Lepisosteus oculatus: one gene and its partner. The protein of the gene in region 1 interacts with the protein of each later gene in a biochemical or structural test. Links are inferred from orthologs where the notes say so. Each region holds a gene or a part of one and is shown in the gene's direction. Other genes may lie near its edges.

The links.
Region 2: the proteins of hltf (region 1) and ube2v2 form a complex in vitro, tested with the Homo sapiens proteins (2 studies listed by BioGRID). The link is inferred for Lepisosteus oculatus from reciprocal best matches to the Homo sapiens genes HLTF and UBE2V2.

What each region holds. Positions count from the first base shown.
Region 1 is NC_090708.1:14,814,896-14,822,843, forward strand, and holds the start of hltf (helicase-like transcription factor), read left to right. Parts: upstream 1-4,848; 5' UTR 4,849-5,177; coding exon 5,178-5,278; intron 5,279-7,948. Other genes in the region: bdh1 (D-beta-hydroxybutyrate dehydrogenase, mitochondrial), read right to left, coding at 262-403, 797-907, 3,945-4,157. UniProt on the Homo sapiens protein: Has both helicase and E3 ubiquitin ligase activities. Possesses intrinsic ATP-dependent nucleosome-remodeling activity; This activity may be required for transcriptional activation or repression of specific target promoters.
Region 2 is NC_090701.1:47,139,643-47,146,766, forward strand, and holds the start of ube2v2 (ubiquitin-conjugating enzyme E2 variant 2), read left to right. Parts: upstream 1-4,023; 5' UTR 4,024-4,115; coding exon 4,116-4,131; intron 4,132-7,124. UniProt on the Homo sapiens protein: Has no ubiquitin ligase activity on its own. The UBE2V2/UBE2N heterodimer catalyzes the synthesis of non-canonical poly-ubiquitin chains that are linked through 'Lys-63'. This type of poly-ubiquitination does not lead to protein degradation by the proteasome.

The sequences.
Region 1 (7,948 bases):
GTACAGGTCTTTAGTCATAATGAATTGGTACCCCTGTTATAAATCAAATGCTTTGGGATTCAGGTGCACTGAATTAATAAATGTTTTAAAGCATGCAAACACTAAAGGAAAAACATAGAACCTCCAGGTTTACTGCTATGAGATTGGAAGAAAAATAAGTAGAGTGTTCAAGTGTACTGCAGGATGCCATTGGGGTCAACACCAGGGAGTTTTGTTCAAAGATGTCATGCTGGCTTGTGAAGAAGGATGCTGCTCTGTTACCCTTCTCTGCATCCTTCAGGTTTTCCCTGACGAACTGCAGGGCTTGATTCACCTCATCCTCGCTGCAAACATCCACCTGCACAACTTTCATCCGCTCCGAGTTCATGCTCTCCAGATCACAAGCTCCAGTGCCGCTCTTGTCCTGTCAACAGTGCCATAAAATATACCCTCCTGTCAGCTGGAAGAAACAAATCTCAAGTTTTCAGTTCTTCTGCACTGTCCTCTCCCATCTCTCAAGGAAAAGACTTCTAACAAAATTTGCATTATGTACAAACAATCTGCTTTACTTTTCTAAGATTTCTAAGTGTATTTAAGAGCTACTGATCTTTAATAAGAACTGGAGAATACAAAATGCCTATAAATAAACTTTTAAACTAAGTTCTGAATTTAAACAAAAATAATATTTTTTGAAACATTTTATCAGCTCACAGATCTTTGTTTGCATTGACAGAAAGTGGGTTGTGAAGTTTAGATTTTAGATTCCTAACTAAAACCAGTTGACTTTTCGCTGACGGAAAAGAGCTAGAAGCCGTACCTTAAGAAGGCATCCAGCAAAGACTGTGAATCCCAGAGCATGTAAATGCTTTGCCAAAGCAAATCCAAATCCACTGTCACAGCCTGTGATGAGCACAGCTTTTCCCTCAGTCTGTCATGGGGAAAAACACGTCATATAGGTTGTTCTCGATTTACACAGGAGATACACTCCTGAAAAACATTGCATAATTAACAAATGTGTAAATTAAAAATGAATTCACTCTAGTAGTGCATGTACTGTAAATGGGGGGAGGGGGGTATGTTTAGCTCCCATCCAACCAGAGAATCGATTGCTAGATAAAAACCAATCATGCAGTTTTATTCATGTAAGATGTTAATACTTATTTGTATAGACATTAAGCTTTTCTAAGAGTTGGCTGTCAATTTTATGTCAACAGTGAGGGGCAGTGAGTCTTGCCCAGCTGTCTTCAGTCCTCCTACTCTCAGTGAGCCTTTTAAAAATGGACGTGTATTTTGAAGTCTTGTAAATAACATTGCGAATATTTTCAGCCAATTAGTAATCGTAACCCATTTTATTTAACATCAAGGTTGACAATTTGGGAGGTTTTTTTAAAGACTTAAAAATAACAAGCTTGTGTTTGCATTCAGCTTTAAGATTGTTTTAATAATAATAATGTTGCTTTATTAGCCCTATACAATTTCTTGCATTAGGAATTTGTCTTTTCGCATACCCCAGCTTTTCTCCATGAGACACAGACACACAGACAGGAAGAGAAGCTTGGGGTCAGAGCGCAGGGTCAGCCAATGTATGGCGCCCCTGGAGCAGTTGGGGTTAAGGGCCTTGCTCAGGGGCCAAAGGGAGTAGGATTCCACTGCGGGCCGTGGGATTTGAACCGGCAACCTTCCAGTCACAGGCGCAGATCCTCAGCCACAGAGCCACCGCTCTGCATTTTATGCATTGTAGTAGATAGATACTTTATTGATCCCGTGAGGGAAATTGCAGTGCAACAGCAGCTTAACACAGACAACACAGTGTAACGAATGATACAATAATAATAATAATACTACAATACAATCAATACAGTGAGGAGTGCTCTAAAAGAGTTACTCAGTCCAGGTCACACAAAGAACAAACTAGAACAGAACAGTACACAGAAAAATCATATTGCACATAAGAATATAAATATAGATGTAAATATAGATATAAATATAAATGTATTGCACGGGTCCCTGGCATATATTGCACAAAAAATGGTTGTAAATGGGAAAAGAAAGAGAACAGATGTAGCAGTAGATGTGTAGATGCGTTCAGTCCAGAAACAGGTCACTGTCAATGTTGCCTCTGCCCAGACGCAAGGTGGATGAGTTGTACAGTCTTATGGCAGAAGGCAAGAATGACCTCCTGTAGCGCTCTCTGTCACACTGTGGATGAATCATTTTATTGCTGAACGTGCTCTTGTAGATTGTTATACAACATAAACATTAGGTGCAGACTAAGACATTTTCAATATGTATTTAGTAAGCTTGAGATGACAGGAAATGATGAGGGACAGCTTACAACTTGGTACACGCCGAGTGTACAGACTCAAACACTCCATCAAATCACCTGTTGCAGACTGGGACCAAGCATGTTAAAATGAGAACCAATTCATAGCCTACAGTACATTAAGAAATGTATTCAATATATTAATAAGGCCAAACTGGGCAAAGTAAAGGGTGTGTCATTTAAGACCTGCCTGTACCCATTTCTCTTTAATAGTGTTTTTGTGGAAACCAGTTATCAAAAACAATTTCTGAACGTTTTCACATTACACCAGCACTAGCATGTTGGCACATGCTTAAAAAAAACATTTCAGAATGTTTTATATAAGAAATGCATAGCCCAAAGAGAAGGCAAATCCCACATGGACATAAAAACCCATAGCAAACGTACAGGTAAAGGGCATGATTAACTGTGTGGTGTTTTGTATACTATTTTCTATTATCCATCTCACTGCTCTGCAAAACTATTAAAAAAATGTTTCACATAATACGAAAGTCATAAGTTGCTTACAACAGCAGTTTGTAATGTGGTTCTAATTGGAATATAAGCAATTAAAGCCAGTTTTAAATCCAATACCTTTTTAAAACCCTTCTCAACAACAGTATTTTAAGCAGTCTTGAACAATACTTTTTATTGAGGAACTGGTAGCTTGACACAATTTGACAATTTTTCTCATCTCATTAAGAGTTAGTGGGGTGGGTCACCAAAATGAGAATTTAATTATTTTATTGATAAAATAATAATAAATAAAAATATTTAATTGATCACCAGATCCATGACAGGCTGCAATATGCCAACCTCCCACTGAGAATCAAATAGAGGAAGAAAATGTATTAATTTTAAATTTGTGTAAATTCACATGAAACCTGAAGATGCAGTGTATTGTACTGATAATTTCACGTATAGGCGGAGAACTTGATTAGCTTTTAATATGAAATACCTTAGCACATACAAATAATACGCGTAAAACAGATGTGTACGAACAGCACTAGAATAGTTGATAATCCGTGTACGAAACGCAGACATTACATGTCCTGGTAAAAATACAAATATTGACATATGTATTCCCTCTTATACAGTATGTCAGTGCCTTTTCAACTTAATTTCAACACAACCTTCCCAGGGGCACGAAACCAAAAAAGCCAGCGCTTACAGATTTACTTTGCGAGTTATTTGTTACCTTTCAGTTGTTGTTTTTTTTTTAAGCAAAGCCGATTCTGTTATTCACCTTTGCTCTTTCGTTGTTGTGCAGAAGCAGGTCGCTAAGCAATAAGAATTCGCTCAATTACTTTATAACAAATAATCCGTGTACGAAACGCAGACATTACAAGTCCTGGAAAAAATACGAATATTGACATATGTATTCCCTCTTATACAGTACGTCAGTTACTTTATCCTGGCCAGTTCAGTAGAATCAATGAAAACGCTCAACAAAATCATTAAAAAAAGTTTAAAGATACAAAGTTGACCTTTTCCAGGTCAAGTTGCATTAACATTATTTATAAAAATAGACACCGTCAACAACCCAGTATATACTACTACATACTAATGTATACATGACTGGTGCCAAATTCACTCTTCGATGTACAATACAGTGCTGTGGCGTTGACGCCACACGAAACAATAAAACTTCAGTATTACTTACTTTCACAGAGCCCCTGGGGATGGAAGGCATTGCCACAAAAAATACGAAAATGAAATACACAAGGACTATGCAGTGGGTTACGCTGGCTTCTGCAAACCCACAGCATTTAACAATGAAATTCAATGCTTCTGGGAGCCCGAACCCTAAAATTAATGTCAAACACAAAGAAAAAAGTAGAAGGAACGCCATTTTAATAAGAGGGAAAGGAGGCATGTTTTCTGCTGCTCGTCAGACTTCGCTTGTGTTGATCTGGACCGGAACAGTGCGATTTAAAAGTAGAGAACAGCGCCTACCACACCAGAATTCCACTTCCTGCCCAGTTAAACGCCAATCGCTCAGCTTCATTTAGTTAATGTTTTGATAAAATGTAACTGAATTCTCACATACAGTAACATGCACTTAATTCAGCACTAGGAAAGCAAGCTAGGGCTGCCACGTGCTGTGCGTCCTTTATTTCTGTTCAGTCTAATTAATTACAGAGGGGACGGAATCAACTCTACTCGTGAGTGGCCAGATCATGTTTCCAGTAAAACGTCAATCATTAACCAGCTTTTATTTATTGAATTAAAGTCCTCACGTTTTTCCAACTGCGATTTCTCCAGCACACAATTTACAGCAACTACATTACGAAAAACCCACACTGCCACATCCAGTACCTCTGATAACATTATTTTGGATGAAAACCCCCTTTTAGTTCTGCTATTACTGTAGGCAGCTGTTAGAATTTAATGGCAGAGTTTTGCAAAACAAAGGTTCATAATCAAGGTGGAACAAACAGTATTGCTGATAAAGCTGTGTACAACTTCAATTCCTGTACCGCCTATTTCACAGGTAACTAAACCCACTCACCCTGGTTTCATATATTATTGACTCCGCCCAGGTTTTTTACTTGCTTGATCCCGCCTTCTGATTTTTAATTGGAGAAGGGAAGTAAATATCTGCATTTTTTTCATACGCTGCTTAGCTAAGGCAGACAAATTCTTATTTGTTGAGCTATCCTAAATCTTGTTTCTGTTTCCGGGTTTTGGGTATGTGTATAGGTTTTGAGCGTAAAACTCGTGTGGCGCATTATGCGGTATTGACATCTCAAGTCTCTCGGAAGTCAGCGTCTCCTCCATGCCTCCCCTCAAGTGATCTATAATCTGCCGGAAATCGCCCCCCGCTCCCACATTTGTCTGTTGGCGACACCCCCGGTCCGAAAGAAATCGTCAGCGAATTATTTAATTATATAATATGACCCTGAGTCATCTGAGAATCCGCTTAAATCTGCTAAACCAGTGGCATCTCTGTACAACGAAAGTTTGCAAAGAAAGCGAGATTATTCAACGGGACTGGTGAGTTATACTGTAGCATTTATAGAATAATGCATACATATTATAGTATCTATCAGCGATTTATTTAATTATATAGCTGTGATTTTGTTTTCGGAGGGGGACCCGCCCCCTCTGGTCCGAAAGTTTTCGCGGGAGGGACGACCCCCCTCGCTGAAATACATTTTTCAAAGTTGGGATGTCTGAAAAGCTATTGTAAATAGTATTTCCGTGTAATGTTTGCAATGGTGATGGACAACTGAATAATATTTTCCTTGTTCAGTAAGAAACCTGTATCGGTTTTGGAACTGGTGTTTTGCATTTCTTTCTGGGACTAGTGTTGCAGTGCAAGCTTATTCTCTGCAAGGCGTGGTGTTTTTGAAGTGTGTTGTTATTTTGAATAGCGATCAGTGTTAAAAAAAATGTTGGTTCTAAAAATAATTGGTAATTCTGGAGTGTCACGATTTCTAAAAAGATTCATATTCTGCTTGGAGCAGGGAAAGGGATTAAAATAGTTTCTGAATTTAAGAGCTGTGTATAGCTAACAAGATTATTGGAGGGTACACAGAGCAGCTTTTACAAGCTCCTCTGTAAGGAATGTGTCTAAGCGATTTAACAAGTACTAAACATTGTGCATTAGGGAAATGGAGTAATTTTCTGTAATATTATTTGCATTTATCAATTTTTTAGTGCTGTAGCTCACAATACTGATAATGTGTTCTTCAATATTATAATTAATAATTGCTTACACTTCTGGACACTCCACTCAAAGTGCTTTACAGGCAATGGGGACTCCCCTCCAGCACCACCAATGTGCAGCCCCACCTGGATGATGCAACGGCAGCCATAGTGTGCCAGTATACTCGCCACACATCAGCTTTCAGTGGGGAGGAGAGCAGAGTGGAATTATTGTTACAACACCTATGTCCAAATATAGATTAATTACTATTTAAATGAACATTTGACAGCGTTACTGCTCTTTTATGTTCCTGTGAAGTTATTTAGAAATTAATTTGTAAAGCCTTATTTCTCATCGTCATACAACATCATTGAAACATATCGTACTCTGTTATGGTATCTGTGGATGGTATCTCACAGATCTGCTTTAATGATCCCCTGCACTCTTGTGATCCAGTGGTTAAAAAGTAGGTATTGAATGGTTGAAGTGCTGCAGTACATCTTCAACCTGAGCCTGAGACTAGAAAGGGTTCCAGGGCTCTGGAAGACACCTTGCCTGGTGCCAGTACCCCAAAAGGGGCACCCTAAAGTCTTAAATGACTACAGACCAGTGGCACTGACATCACACCTGATGAAAACTCTGGAAAGGCTTGTACTAGACCAACTCAGAACCCTGGTGAGTACAGCACTTGACCCCCTGCAGTTCGCCTACCGGTCACACATGGGAGTGGAGGATGCAATCATCTTTCTGCTACACAGACCTAACTCTCACCTGGAGAAGACGGGGAGCATTGTGAGAGTTATGTTCTTTTATTTCTCCAGTGCCTTTAACACCATCCATCCCCCATTACTGAGAGAGAAGCTAAGAGCTGCGCAGGTGGACACTCCCCTGGTGTCCTGGATTATAGACTATCTGACCTGCAGGCCACAGTATGTACGGCTGCAGAGCTGTGTGTCCGAACAGATTGTTAGCAGTACTGGGGCTCCACAGGGGACTGTCCTTGCTCCATTCCTGTTTACCTTTTACACCTCTGACTTCAGGTACAACTCTGAGGCGTGTCATCTGCAGACGTTTTTGGATGACTCTGCAATTGTGGGGTGTATTAGGGGAGGGAGGAGGAATAAATGAGCTTGGTTACCAACTTTGTGGAGTGGTGTCATCTTAACCATCTCCAGCTAAACACCAGCAAGACTAAAGAAATGGTCATGGACTTTCGAAGGAATAAGTCTCTGCTGAACCCTTTTTCCATCCAGGGCGAGGACATAGAGGTGGTGCAGTCCTACAAGCAATAAGCTGGAGTGGTCTGTTAACACTGACACCCTGTCCAAGAAAGGTCAGAGCCAACTATTTTCTTAGGAGGCTCAGGTCCTTTGGTGTATGTGGAACACTGTTACGCATTTTATTTGAATCAGTGGTGGCAGCGGCCATCTTCTACGATGTTGTGTGCTGGGGCAGCAGCATCACGACAAGAGATGTAAATAGGCTCAACAAACTCATCAAGTGGATCTGTGTTGGGGCTGAGCCTTGACCCCCTGGAGGTGGTGGCTGAAAGGAGAATGCTGACCAAGCTTACAACCATCATGAACAACGCCTCTCATCCACTTCATGGGACTGTAACTGGGCAGCTGAGCACTTTTAGCAACAGACTGCTCCAGCTACGGTGCTCAAGGGAACGTTTCCGCAGGTCTTTCCTCCTGGCGGCTGTCAGGGTGTATAACGCTGCCCTAGGCTAGGACTGTTAGCCCTTCATCTGCTCGTCTATGGACAGCATGTTGCACTATTGTACTTTTTGGGCACTCAATCTGTATATACCTATGCACGTTTTGCACAAATGTTATTGTTTTACAGTGACTATGAGCATATTTTGCACACATCTAACTATGTATTTATTTTTTATTACTGTACGTATTTTAATTTTACGTCTATTCTGATGTCTGTTTTCGCTTGTCTTGGGCTGGGCTGCTGTAACACCTCAGTTTCCCTTTGGGATCAATAAAGTCTTATCTATCTACAGT
Region 2 (7,124 bases), on another chromosome or scaffold:
ATTGAAGGTAAAAAAAATCCACCTCCTTCGAGCCGGATTCGAACCAGCGACCTAAGGATGGCCGGGAATCACCGCTACAGTCCTCCGCTCTACCAACTGAGCTATCGAAGGGGCAGAACACACGCCGTCCCCGCACAGGAAGTAATTGCGCGCTTCCGGTCTGCAAGGCTCCATTGAGAGGGCAGACTACCGCCACAACCACGTCTTTAATAAATTACGTACAAGGAGAATGTGTTTAGTCAAGGTATTTCCTTAAGCACCTATTACTTATCCAGCAGTCTGACTATACAGCCCTGTCTAATACCGGACATTGATCCAATTTATGTGAAATTCTTTCTAGACAAGGATTTTTTTACTGGTACGGTTCGCCTTCTCCGGAACGTGTTTTTTGTTTACATTACATTAACAGGAATATGATTACCCTAGCAAATGATTGTCAATAAAACGCCGTTAAGGCAAAAGAAGCCTCTCCCAATCCCAGGCACCAAACATGAAGTTGTGATGACTGAATCCCTTAAATTAGTACGTTCCAGTAACAGGTTTTATGTCGTCTTCTCAATCGGGAATACAGTTTTAATTTAAAAAACACACATACAGGAGGGTTATAACACAGGCTTTCGTTCCTCTATCCCTCTCTCCGACATCTTGATGAGTTCCTAGAGAGCTCCACACTTCAAACACAAACGAAAGCGCAGCACACAAACATCCCGACTGCACGTTTGTGAGTGAAGGAGTCTTTCCCGAGCTGCGCATTCGGGGACATTTCGTTTTGCCCTTGCCGAAAAACAAGAAAATGGTTACTAATTCAAACACTCGGGGAACTGCCTTCCTTTTACTCCATGTGCCCTGAGCACATTTCTATCCATAAGCAAAAGCTTGGAGAATGCGGGCATCGATCCCGCTACCTCTCGCATGCTAAGCGAGCGCTCTACCATTTGAGCTAATTCCCCTACGCGGCTCTTAGATTTTACTATGCGTCTAATGCAGTTTTTAATCCCCCATTTTATCATTAAAAACGTACAACCATTTATATACAAAGTTGCATACTTAAACTTATTTAAACTTTTGAGAGGATTTAAACCGTAGCACTTGGTTACCAGAGCCCATTTGCTTTGCAGAAGTCATCTCAGGTCTTACAATTCAGATGACATAGATAAGATATAAAATCAGAAAGATACAGGAGCACATTGTCAGGACACAGCGACATACAGGCTGCTGTGTTAATACATTATATACTAGGATTATTTCTTATGCTAATTGCCAGAGACTGTAGAGCAATATCAAACAGCAGGGGCGATAAAGGGACAATCTTGCCTTGTGACCCATTGCAACGACGAACGATCAGACGTGTTATCATGATCTAAAATTGTGGGTTCTGGACAGGCGTATATTTCAACCCCCAATTCAAAATGTCCTTGTTTCAACTTCATCAGAAGGTTTTTAACTTATTCGTTAAGGGTGGTGCTATATTCATATTTGAACTTGAGGGCTTGATTAAAGTCGGAAAGTCTACAAGCTGGAAGTGTTTCAATATCGGAGAGCCGCTTTACACAGACTTCATGGGGAATACTGGTAATCCCTGCTGGTTAAATTTAGGGCAAAATAGCTACTGTATTGCTAACTTTGTATAAATGAAAAGCCGAATTTTAAGTCGGTTCAGACAGTTCTGTCTTACAGTATAGTGAATCTGCAAAACGTAATATTATTTGCCCTAATTCATAGAGTCTGCTTTTTCTCTTAAAACACTGTAACCCTGAAATGGGCTCTTTATAAAGACATAGTATGAAATACCCCTAATTTAATTAACCACATTTTACAAATGAAACAAATTCTACATTACAAGACAAGCAATGTTAAAAAAGAGTGTAAACATTTACCAATATTCCTTTCTACGTAAAAAAAAAGTATTAAAGTCACATTTAAACCTCATCCTCTGTACTCATTTACCCCCTTCCTTTAAAAAAAAGTTAGGCAATAGTTCTTTGTAACAAGGTTTGGGCTAGAAAGTTTTCACAGGCTGGAAGGCTTGAGTCAGTTTCAAAGACAATGATTGTTTTGGACTGGTCAGACAACAAGAAAAGAAAGGTGCTATGTGTTATGACCAGACCGAGGACAATTGAAACTGGACACAGGCAGACCTGGCTTCCCAGAGAGGACAGGCTCAACGACTGTAGCCGTGATGTAGAAACTGGACACAGGCAGACCTGGCTGTCCAGAAATGATCGGCTCAGTGACCACAGCCTGGCTGTAGAAACTGGGAGGCAATGACAGACCTGACTGTGCAGAGAGGACAGGGTCAGTGACTGTAGCCTTGACACAGAAACTGGACACAGGCAGACCTGGCTGCCCAGAAAGGACAGGCTGAGCTCCTGCTGGCAGCAGGGAAAACCCAAGACAGAGGTACACTTTCTGCTGCACTGGGAGAAATACTCTGGGATTAGATAAACACTCTTCTGATCCTACTGGGTGTGGAAACTCGGTAGAGCTGCAACCCAAGTATGTTGTGTCCTGTCAAAGCCTGAGGAACTGATAGTGAGCTTGTCTCATAACAATGTTTTATATGATATACAGTATGCAATGTCAATAATATGCTTATTAAAGTCTGTAATATCTGTAAATGTTGTGTTAATTGTAATGGATTGGTCATGCCAATAAAGTTCTTTAAATGTGAAAGGCCTGAGAAAGGAGTAGAGCATCTGTTGACGGACATGTGGCAAAACAGGAAGAGACTGCAGTTCCCCCTCAACCCTGTTTTTATAGGAGAGGAAAGGATGAGCCTTGTAAAAGAAAAAAGGAAAAGATCATGAGAAAGCCCAGCACCAGAGGTAGACATTCCACAAAATGTTCATGTTAAAATAATACTTTGACACTTAAATGATGGAACCCTTCAAATCAAGTTTTTGATATTCCCGAATGTGTTTATGTTACACCTTCATGGCCGTCGGCTTAAAACCAATAAGTCTTTTTAAGAAATAAACATTTCAGAAACTTCAACCAAAACACATGGGGAAAAAAAGTTTGGATCCTTCTCTCCACAACAGGTTTGATGTATCTCCCCAAAACCACCCACGTGCTCCCAGACCAGCACAGACAGTTATATTACAACTATGCCATTACCCTTCAACCAAAGCTTGTAGTGTGTGTGTGTGTGTGTGTGTGTGTGTGTGTGTGTGTGTGTGTGTGTGTGTGTCTGGTAGTTCGACCTAGTGAGTGGGGGTTAATTATGGAGTTCACCAGGTGTCAAGGTACACTGTCCCTTCCCTTCCCTTGTCCCTTTGTCCTTTGTGCTTCATCTGTCCCCCTGCACCACCTTTGGTCCAGACTCTCCAGCAACCCTAATGTGTCACCTCTGTGTGGTGATTGATGAACATCTAGGCGACAGCGTGTCATTGAAACATTGTTGATTGTCACCAGCCAGCCTTGCACTGGAAAGGCTTGGAGACCTTGATGAAAGGAGAAAAGCAGACCCAAAGAGAAACCCCCCCCCCCCCACACACACAAAGAATCCATTATATGCATAAGGTATATAGCCCCTATGCATTTGTCCCACAACTCCTTTTGTCACGCTGTAACACATGAAAAGCAGATAATGAAATCACATATGAAACAACAGAAGTGCCTTTAAACTGCTCAGTGAGCACAATACTGTTTTCTTTTGCAACAACTCAAAAAACTAGGGAGGGGGTTACATGGTAACAAGAAGTGTTTTCCGTTTGATTGATTTACCGTTTGATTCATTTACATCTTATAAACGCAATAACTTCGATTCAAAATACTTTATTCATGTAAAAATGGGGGCAATTTAATATAACATGGAAGAAGAGAACGGAAATTAAAAAAGTGAACTAAAAGCTACGGTAGTAATAAAGGATTCCAGTCATGATTCGAGTAGGTTTCCGTTTTTGATGTAGATGTATTTGTAAAACAAGTAAATCTTTCAGTCGCTGGGCACATTCATACTCCCTCGATGAATGACCCCCCCACCACACACCCAAACCAACAAGCGCCGAGAGGTCACGTGAGCGGCGGCGGCAGCGGCTCGGTGCAGTGGTGACGCGCGCGCCAGGTGACTGTGATGTCACGGATTTGTGTGGTTCTGGATTCGGCTGGACAAGATGGCGGCCTCCACAGGTTTGTGTGAGAATCTGGGCTATTTTAGAGACAAAAAAATGCGATTATTCCGACTCGCGGGGTGGGCGCGCAGACGCGAGCAGGTCGGGGGGGAAACGCGTAATTTGACTTAAGCGGGAAGAGGGACGAAGTCGAGCGAGAGGGGAAAGAGTTGCGTTACTGCGGGTTTTCTGCTTGTCGAACAAGAGAGGACGGGAGGTCTGTCGATGCACAGTCACTCATCATGCTGTGAATGTTGATCAGAACTGGAGGGGGGGATCGGTATTGGGGAAGGTTGCAGGCCCGATTGGCGTAGCAATGCAGGGAAGAGGACTGAGCAAAACCTATTTAATTCGTGTTTTGCAGGGTATTTCCTTCAGACTCTCCACGCGTGCATGCCCGTGTGTGCTCCGCTGCGGGCTCTTGTGTTTTGTTCAGGAAGTAGCGTTTCCTCGGGCCTGACGCTGAAACGTATATTGCCGAATAAGTATTTTTAACGAGGGCGTGTGTCCAGATTTCCCCTAAACACGGTAACGCCAACCGTGAGAGCAGAACTGTCTTTAAATGACGAATACAGGGCGTCTTTGACGTGTGTGTTTGGGATTTCGAGTTAAAAGTGGCTATTCCCGTGGCAGGTATATTTGCTTTAGGCCTGGCCGAAATCATTCATTAAAAAAAAGAACAAGATAACATGCTACCTCTCCTGCAAAAAAAACAACACGCAGTAGGAAGAAGGACAGATGAGACGATTTTATTCTCCGCGGACAGCAAGAAACTCAGAAATGGTACAGGAAGTGTTGCGATCTGCATTCATTGTGGGTGTGCCTGGGAGTGTTAAGGTTGTTCGGTGTTCGTAGAGTTAATGTGAGCATATTTTGCCACTGACGTGCTTCGGTAAAAGATTCGATTGTTTTGCAACCTTGGAAGTGCTACAGAAATAAATCCCCTTTTAATTGGATCCGTGAGCCCGATGATACTTGGAATGCGTGCGTGAAATGGTGCATCCAATTTAAATAGTCTTATGTAATTGATTTATTAGCGGCAGGTGAGAAGGTGCACCTTAAATTCGCATGCGTTTGATTCCACTTACACTGATACGTGCAGCCCAGTGTTACATAAAAGCAATTTTACTCATACATTTCAGCGATGAATGACTGTCGAAACAAGATGTTGCCCCCCTCCCCCTTGGAGAAATCTGTTTTCGGAAACACTGCATGGATACGTAATATAGAAGTGCACTGCACAAGAGCAAAGGAAATGTTTTTATTTCGTTCTGAAAATCAATGTAGTCCCCTAAGCAAATAAACCTAATCAAAATGTCGTTAAAGTAATAGTAAACACTGCGGTGCTTTGAGCTATGCGCCTATCATGTAAAAAACGCAGCCCTTATAAAAGTCTTTCTTGTGCTCATCATGAAGAGTTAAAGTGGTATGGATATTGTATAAAGTAGTGCAAAAAAGGTTATTCTAGCCTTTAACAGTATTAAAAGCACTTTGCAGAACAGATAAACCATCCATTCCTGAGTGAATACTTGAATGAATAAAACTGTTACAACTGTCTTCACACATTCTTGCTTTTTTGGTGGTTCAGTCATCCAGCTAGAAATTTTGGTCTGTCTGGGTAAAATCCACAGACTGATGGGTGTTCTGTTCCCCGAGTTGCAGAATTGTTTCATTCCAAGGAGCGCTGTGCTCAGGTGAAATGGAAGACAGAAGTTCACAAAGCTAGATCTGTCTAGCTTTGTATCGCGTGTTAAAGATAGTTTGGTTTATGTTCGAAAGTATTGATGGCTAAGTGCATGTATTACAGAGATGCTAGCAGGTGGGTAGGTGGAGGTCATCAAGCAAAGATGCTCTGCTACATATAATTAGTAGGCGTTATTCGAATTGATCTAAGTGTTTTATCTTTGAGTTTCTTAAGTTGTTCGGACAGTAGTACCAGTGAGAGGTCTGCACTTAAGATTTGTCAAGGTCAATTAGAGAGTCTGCATTAACAAGCCAGGACTACTGCTTTCTACTTTCTAATCGTCTAAAAATAGCAATTCCTTCTATGAGATTCTCATGTTCAGGTGGAGAAGTGTTCTTTTCAAGGGGCAGTCTTTAGAGGACTTCTTTCAGTTCCCACAAACTCATAACGTGAATAGTAGAGCCCTTTTTTTTACTGCAGTACTGCATGTGAAGGCAAGATCAGGGTTTGGTCTTTTATGTTCAGATTGAGGAAAAACTTTTTTAAAATGAAAAGCAAGTGTATTGAGACACTTTGGCCACATTTCTTTGCCTTTAGCTTTGAGAATTGCAGTAAACCCCTTTATTCTTAACTTTTGCACTTCACAGGAAATGTAGGAAATGTCAAATTTGCTTAGGCTGCACACACAGAATGGTCACATTTTACAAGGTGTAAATGTATTTTCGGAGAGATGAGACGCAGGTTAAGGGAGAGAGTGACACACCTTAAGAAAACTTTTTTCAAGGCAGGGTTAGATCAAGATAGCCAAACGCAAGCTTCCAGAGGGCCACCTTGGTCCTTAGTTTCTATTATAAGTGCATTTCTGTTTCCAGTAGCTGTACAATAATTTGTCTGATGGATAGAATAATTCTGCACATAATAATAATTAATAATTGCTTACACTTATATAGCGCTTTTCTGGACACTCCACTCAAAGCGCTTTACAGGTAATGGGGATCCCCTCCACCACCACCAATGTGCAGCATCCACCTGGATGATGCGACGGCAGCCATAGTGCGTCAGAACGCTCACCACACATCAGCTATCAGTGGGGGAGGAGAGCAGAGTAATGTAGCCAATTCATAGAGGGGGGTTATTAGGAGGCCATGATTGGTAAGGGCCAATGGGAAATTTTGGCCAGGACGCCGGGGTTACACCCCTACTCTTTTCGAGAAACGCCCTGGGATTTTTAATGACCACAGAGAGTCAGGACCTCGGTTTTACGTCTCATCCGAAGGACGGGTTAATGTACTGTTAGAAACATGACCTGTGCATTAGATGTAGACTTT